Sus scrofa: one gene and its partners. The protein of the gene in region 1 interacts with the protein of each later gene in a biochemical or structural test. Links are inferred from orthologs where the notes say so. Each region holds a gene or a part of one and is shown in the gene's direction. Other genes may lie near its edges. The genes, in order: LOX, EFEMP2 and ELN.

Region 1 (4,085 bases):
TCAATATTTAGCAAAAGGTGATTTAAGATTTAAAAAAAAATCCAAAGTCAAACTTCCTTATTAGACATATAAAGAGAAAAAAAGTCAGATGAAATGCTTATTTGAAACTGCCTTTCTGAGTGTTCTACAGACAGGCTTACTCTAGCTCTCTTTACTCAAACTTCCTGATAGACACTGGAAATGAAAGATGGGTTCTTCACTTCCACTCAAAGTACAAATCAGGCCGGCATTTTTAAAAAGACACAGGTTTATTCTCTGCTTCAGTGTTAGTTGGCTTTGTTCCTTGTAAAATTTCACTTTTGGTTATTAAAATATTCACTGTAGGAAATAAATTTGTAACCCATTTCTCATATTACCTACACACAGAAAAACAAAATTTGATATCTTGAGGCTTATTTGCTGAGGGCGCTTCCCATAAAAGCGAGGAGTGTGCATTGGGAAATCTGTCTGGTTAACTCCTTATGGATAAACGTTAGTCACAATCGTCCCTCCGCCCACCGCTTCCCCCTCCCCGACTCTCGCCCCCAGCACCCTCCCCACCTCCTGACTTCCCGCCTCTCCCGGGCTGGTGACTTAATAGCATTTTTCTTCGTGCATATTTTGGCTTCGCCCCATGGCCTGGCTGCCTTCGCCTGTCTGAGTCTTTTGAAATTCCTGCATGTTCGCCCCAGATTAAGCCTAGTGTGTCTCAGGATGTGTGTTCCGTTTTGTTCTTTCCCCTTAACGTTCCCTGTGCAACGTGTCTGGGGGGAGGAGGACACGACGGGGAGGGGAGGGAGGGGCAGAGGCGAGGAGCTGTCCGCCTTGCACGTTTCCAATCGCATTACGTGAACAAATAGCGGAGGGGCGGCTGGGCCAGAACGGCTTGTGTAACTTTGCAAATGTGCCAGAAAGTTTAAAATCTCTCCTCCTTCCTTCACTCCAGACACTGCCGTTCGCTGGGGCCGCCGCGCCGCTCCCCGTCGCCTTCCAGAACTGGGAAAGAGGAAAGAGGCGAGTGCCACGTCCCAGCAGCCGCCTTTACTGGGAAGGGTCTGCAGCCCACCCTTGGCATTGCTTGGTAGGGACTGAGATACCCGCGCAACCCGCCCGCCTCCGTGGTTGAAGAGTTCTCCCTCCCTCACGTGATTTGAGCCTCGTTTTCCTTTTCTCCGAGCTACGTCCTCCGGGAGCGGGGACAATCCGGCAAAGGGAGCGATGCGCTTCGCCTGGACCTCACTTCTGCTCGGGTTGCTGCAGCTCTGCGCACCGGTGCGCTGCGCCCCGCCGGCCACTGGCCAGCAACAGCCCCCTCGCGAGCCGCCGGCAGCTCCCGGCGCCTGGCGCCAGAAGATCCAATGGGAGAACAACGGGCAGGTGTTCAGCCTGCTGAGCCTGGGCTCACAGTACCAGCCACAGCGGCGACGGGACCCTGGCGCCACCGCCCCAGGCGCAGCCAACGCCACCACCCCGCAGCTGCGCACGCCAATCCTGCTGCTCCGCAACAACCGCACTGCTGCGGCGCGGGCGCGAACCGCCCTCTCGTCCGGAGCCGTCGCCGGCCGCCCCAGGCCCGCAGCCCGCCATTGGTTCCAAGCTGGCTATTCGACGTCTGGGGCTCGCGACGCTGGGGCCTCGAGTGCCGGTAACCAGACGGCACCTGGAGAGCTCCCAGCGCTCAGTAATCTGCAGCCACCCAGCCGCGTGGACGTGGACGGCATGGTGGGCGATGACCCGTACAATCCTTACAAGTACTCCGACGACAACCCTTATTACAACTACTATGACACGTACGAAAGGCCCCGGCCTGGGAGCAGGTATCGGCCCGGATATGGAACAGGCTACTTCCAGTACGGTAAGCACCCCCAAGTCGCCAGAAAACCCACGCACCCCTTCCCCAACTCCGTGGCTCCCCGACGTGGCTGCCTGGGCGCGGCAGGCCTCAGTCCGTGCAGATCCCATCCCTCCCCCAGCGCCTGCAGAGGCAGCCCTGGAATCTGGTGCAAACCGCGCGCCTGGCCCCTCCTGCTTCCTTTCCACTTTACTTTGCAGCCCAGGCCATCCCCATTCTTCTGTTACCCGAAACCCGACACCGCAGTCCCCATGGGTGAAGGGTGATGAGTAAGGGTCGTGGAGTAGGGGGCAAGGGTGGGCGCCTCTAAGTTGTCTCACCTCTTTGCGCTTTGCCTGCTAACTTTTAGGTCTTCCTGATCTGGTGCCTGACCCTTACTACATCCAGGCATCCACGTATGTGCAGAAGATGTCCATGTACAACCTGAGATGCGCTGCGGAGGAAAACTGCTTGGCCAGGTACCATCTGGGATCTCCCAGCCCAGCTCCCCGTCTTGGTTCTGGGGGCGCTGCTCAGGTGCCTGGTTCTGACCACTCTTCGGTGCAGACAAGATTTGGGACATGGGATGCGCGCTGGGAAGTAGAACATTATCTCCTAAGCATGCTGACCTGGATGGAGAGTTAAAATTTTGAAGACTTTTGTGGGTTCTGTCTTTCAAACAGTGGCACGAGTCAGGGAGATGAAGCAAACCCCTAAAAAAAAAAAGTGTGTGAGGGGGGTTTCCTATTTTCCCAAAGATCCTTAAACTCTGGAGCTATTTCTAATAATGTTCTATTAAACTAGTGCACAATAACATGGAAAAATATTGTGCTGAAAGAGCTTGTTAATGCCCCCTTGAAAGATTGGGGCCACTGATCCAGCGTGGCACCCCTCTTTGGGTGCTACAGTTTCCTTTTTTTTTGATTGAAGCCACAATTAACTTAGTTGTTTTGGTATTACTTCAGCCAGAATAAGAACATGAGCAAGAGCTTTGTTTTTGCATTAGTCCTAAAATAAAATCTTAGCAATTTGGGGAATGGAATTCTCTGAGTTTGCTGCTTGGAAACCAGCAGAGGGAGCAAATGATGTTTGGATAGGATGCAAAGAATTTTTTAAAAATATAAAATAAGGTCACCAGTAGTATCTGAATATATAAATTCACACAAAATACATTAGCAAAAAACAGTAATGTTTGTTTATTTTGTGAATTTCTTCTACTTTGACTCCTGTCAGTCTAAAAGAAGAGAAGAAATCCAAGCTCATCATTTTCATTCTTGGAAATCTTGCATTAATCATACCACTGCACTCCCTATGATATTATTACTACAATAATGTCACTGTCTTAAAGATAGTTATTAAAGTGTTTATTAAGACTTTTTTTTTCCTTTTTTTTTAGGGCCACAACTGTGGCATACGGACATTCTCTGGCTAGGGGTCTAATGGGAGCTGTAGCCACTGGCCTACGCCACAGCAACAGCAACTCGGGATCTAAGCCATGTCTGTGACCTACACCACAGCTCACAGTAACGCTAGATCCTCACTGAAAGAGGCCAGGGATCGAACCTGCGTCTTCATGGATACTAGTTGGGCTCGTTACCAGTGAGCCATGATGGGAACTCCTAAAGTATTTATCTAATGTGGATGCACTCTTTTAGAGCTATTTCTCCAGTTGACATCTTATTTAATCAACTGTTTAAAAAAATGTAGGCAAAATGCCCTGGCCTCTGGGAGCTGATGGCCTAGTTAAGCGAAGACAGTAGTCACCATTATAAAATGGGAAGGTTTTATATGTAGCTTTGTTTTTAGTTAATATTTTGTGAAAATAATAATGTCTCTTTTTTTCAAAATCACAGCACAGCATACAGGGCAGATGTCAGAGATTATGATCATAGGGTGCTGCTAAGATTTCCCCAAAGAGTGAAAAATCAAGGGACATCAGATTTCTTACCAAGCCGACCAAGATATTCCTGGGAATGGCACAGCTGTCACCAGTAAGTGGATGGGCCTCCTGGTGTATTTAAAGAGTTGCTTTTTCATTTGGATATGAAAAATTTTTATACAAAGGTAGAAGATTAAAATTTGTCTTTAAGATAATATATCACCTACTATGTCACATTTTTTTTTTTTAATTGGGAACTTTAAGCCCAGCTTATTAAAACTGTTGACAGAATACAGCAACTGGCTTCACTAGAATTTTACACCAATATAATACAGGTAAGATTTCCAAAAAAACCTGTTACAATCAAAATCATCTATAGTTAGTCAGCATGTAATA
Region 2 (4,210 bases), about 120 Mb from region 1:
GGCTAGGGGTCCAATCAGAGCTGTAGCTGCTGGTCTATGCCAGAACCACAGCAACACCAGATCTGAGCCACGTCTTTGACCTACACCACAGCTCACGTAATGCCAGATCCTTAACCCACTGAGCAAGGCCAGGGATCAAACCCAGGACCTCATGGATGCTAGTTGGGTTTGTTAACTGCTGAGCCATGAGGGGAACTCCTGTATTTTGGTTCTTATGACTAGTGTTGCTATGACCATCGTGCACAGGCTTTTGGTGTGGACATACGTTTTCAATGCCCCGGGCGTATACCTAGGCGGGACATCACTGGGGCATGTGTTCACATTTTGAGAACCTGCCAGACTGTTTTCCCCAGGAGTCCTCCCACTTTACATTCCCACCCACAGTGTATGACCGTTTCAAGGTTTCAATTTCTCCTTAACATCCCCGACACTTGTTATTGTCTGTCTTTTTGGTTTTAAGGAGTTATTATTTTTAGCCTCCTCCCCCGCCCTCACCCCAGGGATGCGGGGAGAGGGGGCTGCTTAGAGGATGTGGGGGAAGGGGAGGTAGGAGCTCTCCATTTCACCCTGAACCCGAAAGGGTCACCTCAGGACCCCCTGGAATGTCCTCTCCTTCACACACCCCCCTCGGGCGGGGCTGCTATAGGGGGCGATTATGAGGACCACTTGGGGTGGGAAAGGGCTTAACAGTTCCTGCTGGCCATCTGCCTCCAGGCAGGGGTTCCCTGGACACGCAGCCCTTTCCCGTCTGGCCCCGCCCTGAGACGTGGGCAGGGCGAGACCACGCCCCTTCCTGGGAGCCAGCTCCGCCCAATCTCCTCCCCTTAAGGCGCTCCGTCTCCCTGGGAAAAGAGGCAGACAGCCCGGGGCAGGGAGGTGGGGTGTGTGCGGGGGAGACATTGGTAGGAAGATGGCCAGGAAGGTGATGGCCCCGGACCCTGGAGCCCTGCACGCCCGAGTTCAGCCCTGCTCGACTTCTCAGGGGCTTCCATTCATTCTGAGCCAAAAGTGAACTGCCGCCCCCGCCCCAAACTGATGTAGCCTCAGGGACTGAGGGCCCGGGGGAGGCCGTCCTGGAGTGAAGGGACCGCCTGGCTGAAGACAGTCCCGGGGATGGAAGGGAGAAGGGACAGAACTGGACGGTTCTGGACCTGGGAGCGTCTCTCTTCTCAGGGCGAGGGTCTGGGGACCCTGGATGAAGTTGCGGTTGTGGTATTTCCAGAATAACTGTCCGGGTGCACAGAATAACACTCTGGTGGCGCAGAGTGAGGAGGATCTGCAAGTTCCAGGGTTAGGTGGAGTCTAAGGGCCCAGGATGACATTCTGGGAGGCGCAGAGTCTGGGTCCCTGGCATTAAGATGTGGGTGCACAGGAATTCCAGGGGTGCAGATTAGGTAAGGTCTAGGTGCGCAGGATGACATTTTTGGGTGCACAAACTGAGAGCCTGGGGGCTCCAGAGTGAGTTGGGGGCTTGACATCAGGGTCAATGCCCCAGGATCCTGTGCTAAGGGACCCTGGCCTGGCGCCGGGAGGCGGCTCCGGGCGGCGCCGCGGGGGACCGGGTGGGGCCTGTGGCCGGCCGGGGGCGGAGAAGCGGGGGTCGGGGTCCCTCCCCCTGGCGCGGGCTCAGGAATCCGCCGAGGGGCGGGCGGAGGCGCCGGGGTGGGCCGCGCCGCGGCAGGCGGGCGGGGGGCGCTTCCTGGGGCCGCGCGTCCAGGGAGCTGCGCTGTCCGCCTGTCCGTCTCCCGCAGGCACTACCGGAGCCAGCCGAGCCGCCGGAGCCGCGGGCCTCCGGGCCGTCACGGGCCCAAGTGAGTGGCCGTCCATGGGGGGAGGGCGCCAGCCAGAGTCTCGGCCGAGTCGGCGGCGTCAGCACCGAGCCAGAGGCCTGCGCTCCTCGGCCCGAGCCACTGGGGGACCGGGCGGGGGCGGGGCGACCCGGGGCGGGTGGGCCCTGAACCCCGGCCTGCGTGATCAGTCGACCCCCGGCCCTGGGAGGCTCCGAAGCCCCAGACACAGTCCCGGGCGGGTGGTGTCGGGGACCAGGTCTCTGAGTCCTGGTTCGGGCAATGGGGGATCCGTGGCCCAGACGCCCTGACCCCCACTCACTACCTCCCAGCCCCAGGATGCTCCCCTTCGCCTCCTGCCTCCCCGGGTCTCTACTGCTCTGGACGCTGCTGCTGTTGCTCTTGGGGGCAGCGTCTCCCCAGGATTCGGAGGAGCCCGACAGCTACACGGTGGGGACAGTGGAGCCCCTGGCCTGGGCTGGGCTGGGCAGGGACACCAAGACCAGGATCCTGGGGTGGCTGCTGCTGGGGCAGGTTCTCCCCTCCCCTGGTCCGTGGAGCAGCTGGAGCTGTTGTTTGGAGCAGGCGGGGAGGGTGGCCAAGCTTGGGCTCTGGTCTTGGCCTGGTCAGTTAGAGGAGAGGGGGTGACCACTGGCCACCTCTGGTCCCCCTGTAGGAATGCACAGATGGCTATGAGTGGGACCCCGACAGCCAGCACTGCCGGGGTGAGTATGCTTGGAGCACCAGGAAGTGGATTGCAACTCCAGCACGGAGAGCTGCTGTGGGAGTCAGTGGCCTGTCCCCTGCCCAGCTCTGCCTGGCCGTGGCCAGCTCTGGTTCTCAGGGGGCCAGCTTAGCTGGGGGTGGAGAAGCCATCCAGGCCCCTCCCTCTCAGAAAAACATGGGACAGCCTCCTCCCACCCCCCAGGAGTCCAGAGACCAACAGGGCGCTGCCCAGAGGCATGGTTCCTGGCCACCTCCTCTAATCACTTTCCCACCCAGCTTCGTGCCATCGTGACCTGGGAGGGCAGCGTCTGCGGGGGTGGGCGAGAAGGCCTGCACCTCACTCTTGGGCTGAGTTGGGACCAGGGCTCTGGGGCGGCATAGAGACCCTCTTGGGGATAAGAGAATGGAAGTGAGTGGAGCAAGAGCCAGCCTGCCACCAGCCCTGGTGGCACTGGGAAGTGGTCCTGGGCAGGCAGCCTTAGCTGAGGAGAGTGGGAAGGCCCTTCCTGGGTCACGCAGCTTAGAGGAGGCTGCACTGGGCTCCTGCCGCCCACCCCCTCCGTGGCCAGCCCAGGAGACTGGCTGTGCCCAGCAGGCCCCTCTCCGCAGATGTCAATGAATGCCTGACCATCCCCGAGGCCTGCAAGGGGGAAATGAAATGTATCAACCACTACGGGGGCTACTTGTGCCTGCCCCGCTCGGCGGCTGTCATCAATGACCTGCATGGCGAGGGACCACCACCACCAGTGTCCCCTGCTGAACACGCCACCCCCTGCCTACCAGGCTATGAACCGGATGAGCAAGAGAACTGCGTGGGTGAGTGAGGGTCGGTTGCCCTGGTGCTGAGGCTTCCAATCCTTCTATCAAGTGTCTATCACTGCATTTTAAAAACTCACAGCTCATGTTCCTCCCTGGCTCAAAAGCTTCCTCGGGGGAGTTCCCGTCGTGGCGCAGTGGTTAACGAATCCGACTAGGAACCATGAGGTTGCGGGTTCGGTCCCTGCCCTTGCTCAGTGGGTTAAAGATCCGGCGTTGCCGTGAGCTGTGGTGTAGGTTGCAGACGCAGCTCGGATCCCGCGTTGCTGTGGCTCTGGCGTCGTAGGCCGGTGGCTACAGCCCCAATTCAACCCCTAGCCTGGGAACCTCCATATGCCGCGGAAGTGGCCCAAGAAATAGCAACAACAACAAAAAAGACAAAATAAATAAATAAATAAATAAAATAAATAAATAAAAAAATAAAAAGCTTCCTCGGGGCCGCTGGCATAATAATATCCAGCCCCTTGTCCAGATCCTCACTGTGGGGGGCCTGCCCAGCTCCCGTCCCATGCCCAGCCAGCTTCCGGGATCCTCCTTTTGATCACTGCAGGTGCACCGCGGGAGCGCTCGCTGTCAGCCTCTTCCCCTTTCCTGGTTTGCACCCCACTCCTGGGTGCTATAGGCCTCAGAAGAAGGTTCTGGAATCAATCAGTGTTCCTGGGAGCATGGACAGGGCCTTATTTCCTCTGCTTCCCTGACATGGGGTCTCCCAGGGTAGGGGTGCCGATATCCCAGGGACTCCAGACCAGCAGATTCTTATTTGTGCTGTTGGGTGGGCTGTGCGTTCCTGTTTTGGGGGTGTCAGTCACCCACACACCCACGTGAGCGGTATCTGGCCTGTGTCCTCCCACGTTGAGGTGTGGGCTCCCAGGTAGGGGCTG
Region 3 (3,640 bases), on another chromosome or scaffold:
GGGCCAAAGAGGCAGCAGGATTTGAACCCAGAGCTCTCTGAGAGAGCCCGTTGGGTTGGCCAGGCCCCTCAGCGCTCTCTCCTCCTTCCCGGGGGCTGGACTCCGTGGGGCATTTGGGCCAGGTGAGTCCACTGGAAGGAGGGCGAGCAGGGGCGGGGCAGAGGGGGGCGTGGGAAAGGGGCAGATGACTGCAGAGGGGCTGCCTGCCCCGCCCGCCCACCCAGGCCCTTCTCACCTCCTGTTTGGTCCCCATCTTCTCCTTCCAGCCCTTCTGGTCAGGAAAGGCCCGAACAGGTCCCCTGCCCCTGTTGGAAGTCAGGAAACAGGCTGGCTTGAGAGAAACCCCTGACAGGGCCTGTAATGCTGGGAGGTGAACCCGGGAACGTGCCAGGCCCAGCCTGATGGCACCACACCTGCCCAGAGTTAGAGACCTGTCTTGCTGGGGGGCTGGCCGAGTTTCAGACTGGCCAGTTCCCGGAGGTAGGAAACGGGAGTGGGGGAACCACACCCAGTGAAAGCCAGGCCGACCCTCCAGGGCTCAGCACTCCCGCAGGTTGCAGTCAGTCCCCAGAGAGGCCACCCCTGCGCGCGCGGGACCCCAGTGGCCAGGACTGGCTCTTGTGGGAGAGACGCTCACATTTTCAGAGACCAACCCGGCATGGTTGTGAACTCCAACCTGACTGCCCGTGGGTCCTGGCCAAAGCCGTGGAATGTCTCCTGGAGGGGGAAGAGGAGAGCTCGGGCCCAGATGTGGGAAGGAGAGAGCCAGGGGGACCCATTTGGCTTTTTATAAACATTTTAGCATCTGTCTGTAAGCAAAGAGGCTCCTAGACTGCAGGGCGGGCTAGCTGGATGGACAGGCAGATGGTGGAAGACAAAAGGGGCTCCAGACACAGGGAAGCGGACATGGCCTGAGCCAGGAGACCCTGCAAGGAAGCCAAAGAGAGTCTTAGGGTGGGGACTGTCGTGGAAGCAGGGCAGGGCTGGCCTGGGTGAAGTCTGGCTGGCAGATTCTGCTCAGCTCCAGCCTTCACCGAAAGCCCTGCTGGGTTCCCGTTAGCTGGCGGGTCTTCTGAGGGAACTGAGTCTGATTGGGGCATGTTGGGGGCAGACAGGTCAATGCAGTCATGTCCACATGGCACATAGCAGTTGGTGGCTAAACAGCGGCTGCTATTTTGTCGGGATTGACCCCCCCCCCACCGCCCCACCCCCGCCCAGGACCAAAGGCTTGAGTCCAGCTTAGAGGCCTGGGCTGCCCCACACCAACCACAGCCTTGCCAGGTTCCCGCCCCCATTCCAGGAGACCCTTCCCCGCCCCAGGCCCAGGGACGATGCCCCACACCTGCCTCCCCTCACCTGGCTGTGTCTTCTTCTCCCTGCAGGTGTCGGAGGGCTCGCAGGCGCTGGCCTTGGGGCAGGTTAGTGTTGACACCCAGGCAAGATGCCCCTCTGGGGGCTGGGGCATCTGCCCAGAATGGAGGGCAGTTGGGGTGCTGGGGTGAGACCAGGCCTGTCCCGGGCACTGGTGCTGGGGGTAATGCTGAGACCGCCCGCCTCAGCAGCTGCCCAGAGCACAGGGGAGTCACGGATATGATGACATAGGTAATTTGTGAGAGCAGGAGGGAAGCGGCCCCAGCACCCATAGGAGTCGCCCACCCCATTGCGCTTCAGGAAGGCTTTCTGGAGGAGGCGGGTATAGAATCTGGACTCCAGAAGATCCCACAGTTTGTCAGGCTAAGTGGAGCAGTCTGGGACAGAGAACCCAGTGCTGTGAGCAGTGGTCACAGCTGGGCAGGGCAGTCCTACAGAGAGCAGGAGAGCCTCAGATGGACCTCTTGGGGGCAGTGGGGCCAGGGGTGGGGTGAGGGTGGGGGGCAGGACCTCAGCCCACCCTCCTCCCTGCAGGGCTCGGGGCCTTTCCTGCAGGCGCCTTCCCAGGGGCTCTGGTGCCCGGCGGCGTGGCTGACGCGGCCGCAGCCTATAAAGCTGCTGCCAAGGCTGGTGAGTGTTACCCTTTGGGACAAGCCAAGAGCTCTGTGGCTTCTGGGGGCTCTCCACTTTGCCAAGGGCTTTTCCTGGGGGGCAGCCTCAGCTCCAATCTGCTGGGGTTTGGGGAGGCATCAAGCTGGGCCTTAGTCTCAAAATGAGGTGGTGGCAGGGCCAGGCCTCAGCGCAGGCCCCGCTGCCTTTCGCTGTTTCTGGTGTGACCTCCTCCTCTTCCACGCCTGGCTCTGTAGGTGCCGGGCTTGGCGGCGTCGGTGGTGTCGGCGGCTTAGGAGTGTCTACAGGTACGGAGGCTAGACCCACGTGGCCCCGGAGAAGGCTGCGGGTGTGGGCGGAGCCCGCTCTGATGCAGCCCCTTCCCTACCAGGTGCAGTGGTACCTCAACTCGGAGCAGGAGTTGGAGCTGGCGCGAAGCCAGGGAAAGTACCAGGTCAGTGTGGGGTCCCTGGGACTGATGGGCAGAGGTCAGGGAGGGGCCAGAGCCTCCAAGACCCCCTGAGCAGGAAGGACAGGGCCTGGGGCAGGGAAGGTAGCCAGGCCCCAAGTGAGGGGCCGTGTCCGAAATAGGGCCGAGGGGGCCCCGGCCTGTCTTCCAGGCCCTTCTCCCACGACCTTGGAGCAGACCTCAGGGACAGACTCTGGGGTGGGCATTCAGGTGACAGGTGGCGATGCTGAGGCTCAGAATGGGGAGGCAGGACAGAAGGGCCCACGCGGCCCGTCATGGCGCAGCTGGGGGAGCCTGAGGTGTGCACACTCCCCATCTGGGGCTGGTTCCTCTGCGCCAGGCCCTTGAAGAAGTGACTTCAGGTTAAACAAAAGGCTGCCTAAGTCCACACAGCAGGGCGGGAACATCTGGAAGCTGTTAGTCCAGGGGTGGGCTGTGCCGACCATGTAAACAGGCTCTAGGAGACGAGACAAATCCACGCACAGAGGGGTTGGCAGAAGACTTCCGGAACTCGTGGGAGGAGGGCTGCAGCCACTGCACACTGTCTCTGGCTGTTCCCACCGGGGAACCAGGGTGGCTGGTTTGGGAGCCCTGGAGCTGCCATGGAGGGATGGGCCACGAGGGGCTCCCGGAGGCCAGGCTACTGTTCACATGCCTTCTTTTGGCCACAGGTGTGGGGCTCCCAGGTGTCTACCCTGGTGGAGTGCTCCCGGGCACAGGTGAGAACAAGGAGGGGAAGGGGGCTCTAGGGCAAGGAGGGCAGCCCCTGGCAGCTTCCGGCATGGCCCCTCACAGCCCCCCAAGCTGAGGCCCCCGGAGACCCTGGGTCCTGACTGGCACTGTTTCTCTAAGTGTCCAAGCTCAGGCTACAGACTTAAAACTCCTATTCATCTTTCCCCTGTGAGGGTCAGTGAGCTCCCCCGGCCCCCCAAGCCCTGAGCCCAGGCTCAGACCCAGACCATCGTCACAGCCTGGGGTGGGCCCCCCAAGGACAAATAAGTCCCCACTGGGGCCAGCTGTTTCCCAAAAGCCGTGAGTCACCAGGGGGCCCGCCCAGTGCATCCGCCCTGCAGGAGACCCTCAGAGCTGCCCTCTCACCCTCGTTCCCTGCCAGGGCCCGGCCACCCCACCCAGCATGTGACCTCCTGAATTCCCCCAAAAGCCCGGTCCAGGCTGCTCTGCGGGATTTGT

The links.
Region 2: the proteins of LOX (region 1) and EFEMP2 form a complex in vitro, tested with the Homo sapiens proteins (2 studies listed by IntAct, with this or other methods). The link is inferred for Sus scrofa from reciprocal best matches to the Homo sapiens genes LOX and EFEMP2.
Region 3: the proteins of LOX (region 1) and ELN form a complex in vitro, tested with the Homo sapiens proteins (2 studies listed by BioGRID and IntAct). The link is inferred for Sus scrofa from reciprocal best matches to the Homo sapiens genes LOX and ELN.

The regions. Positions count from the first base shown.
Region 1 is NC_010444.4:125,604,123-125,608,207, reverse strand, and holds the start of LOX (protein-lysine 6-oxidase precursor), read left to right. Parts: upstream 1-1,181; 5' UTR 1,182-1,197; coding exon 1,198-1,834; intron 1,835-2,180; coding exon 2,181-2,289; intron 2,290-3,663; coding exon 3,664-3,801; intron 3,802-4,085. UniProt on the Homo sapiens protein: Responsible for the post-translational oxidative deamination of peptidyl lysine residues in precursors to fibrous collagen and elastin. Regulator of Ras expression. May play a role in tumor suppression. Plays a role in the aortic wall architecture.
Region 2 is NC_010444.4:6,453,860-6,458,069, forward strand, and holds the start of EFEMP2 (EGF-containing fibulin-like extracellular matrix protein 2), read left to right. Parts: upstream 1-1,295; 5' UTR 1,296-1,394; intron 1,395-1,751; 5' UTR 1,752-1,811; intron 1,812-2,119; 5' UTR 2,120-2,126; coding exon 2,127-2,237; intron 2,238-2,463; coding exon 2,464-2,512; intron 2,513-3,122; coding exon 3,123-3,329; intron 3,330-4,210. UniProt on the Homo sapiens protein: Plays a crucial role in elastic fiber formation in tissue, and in the formation of ultrastructural connections between elastic laminae and smooth muscle cells in the aorta, therefore participates in terminal differentiation and maturation of smooth muscle cell (SMC) and in the mechanical properties and wall integrity maintenance of the aorta.
Region 3 is NC_010445.4:11,224,295-11,227,934, forward strand, and holds part of ELN (elastin-like precursor), read left to right. Parts: intron 1-1,382; coding exon 1,383-1,418; intron 1,419-1,905; coding exon 1,906-2,001; intron 2,002-2,237; coding exon 2,238-2,288; intron 2,289-2,371; coding exon 2,372-2,434; intron 2,435-3,120; coding exon 3,121-3,168; intron 3,169-3,640. UniProt on the Homo sapiens protein: Major structural protein of tissues such as aorta and nuchal ligament, which must expand rapidly and recover completely.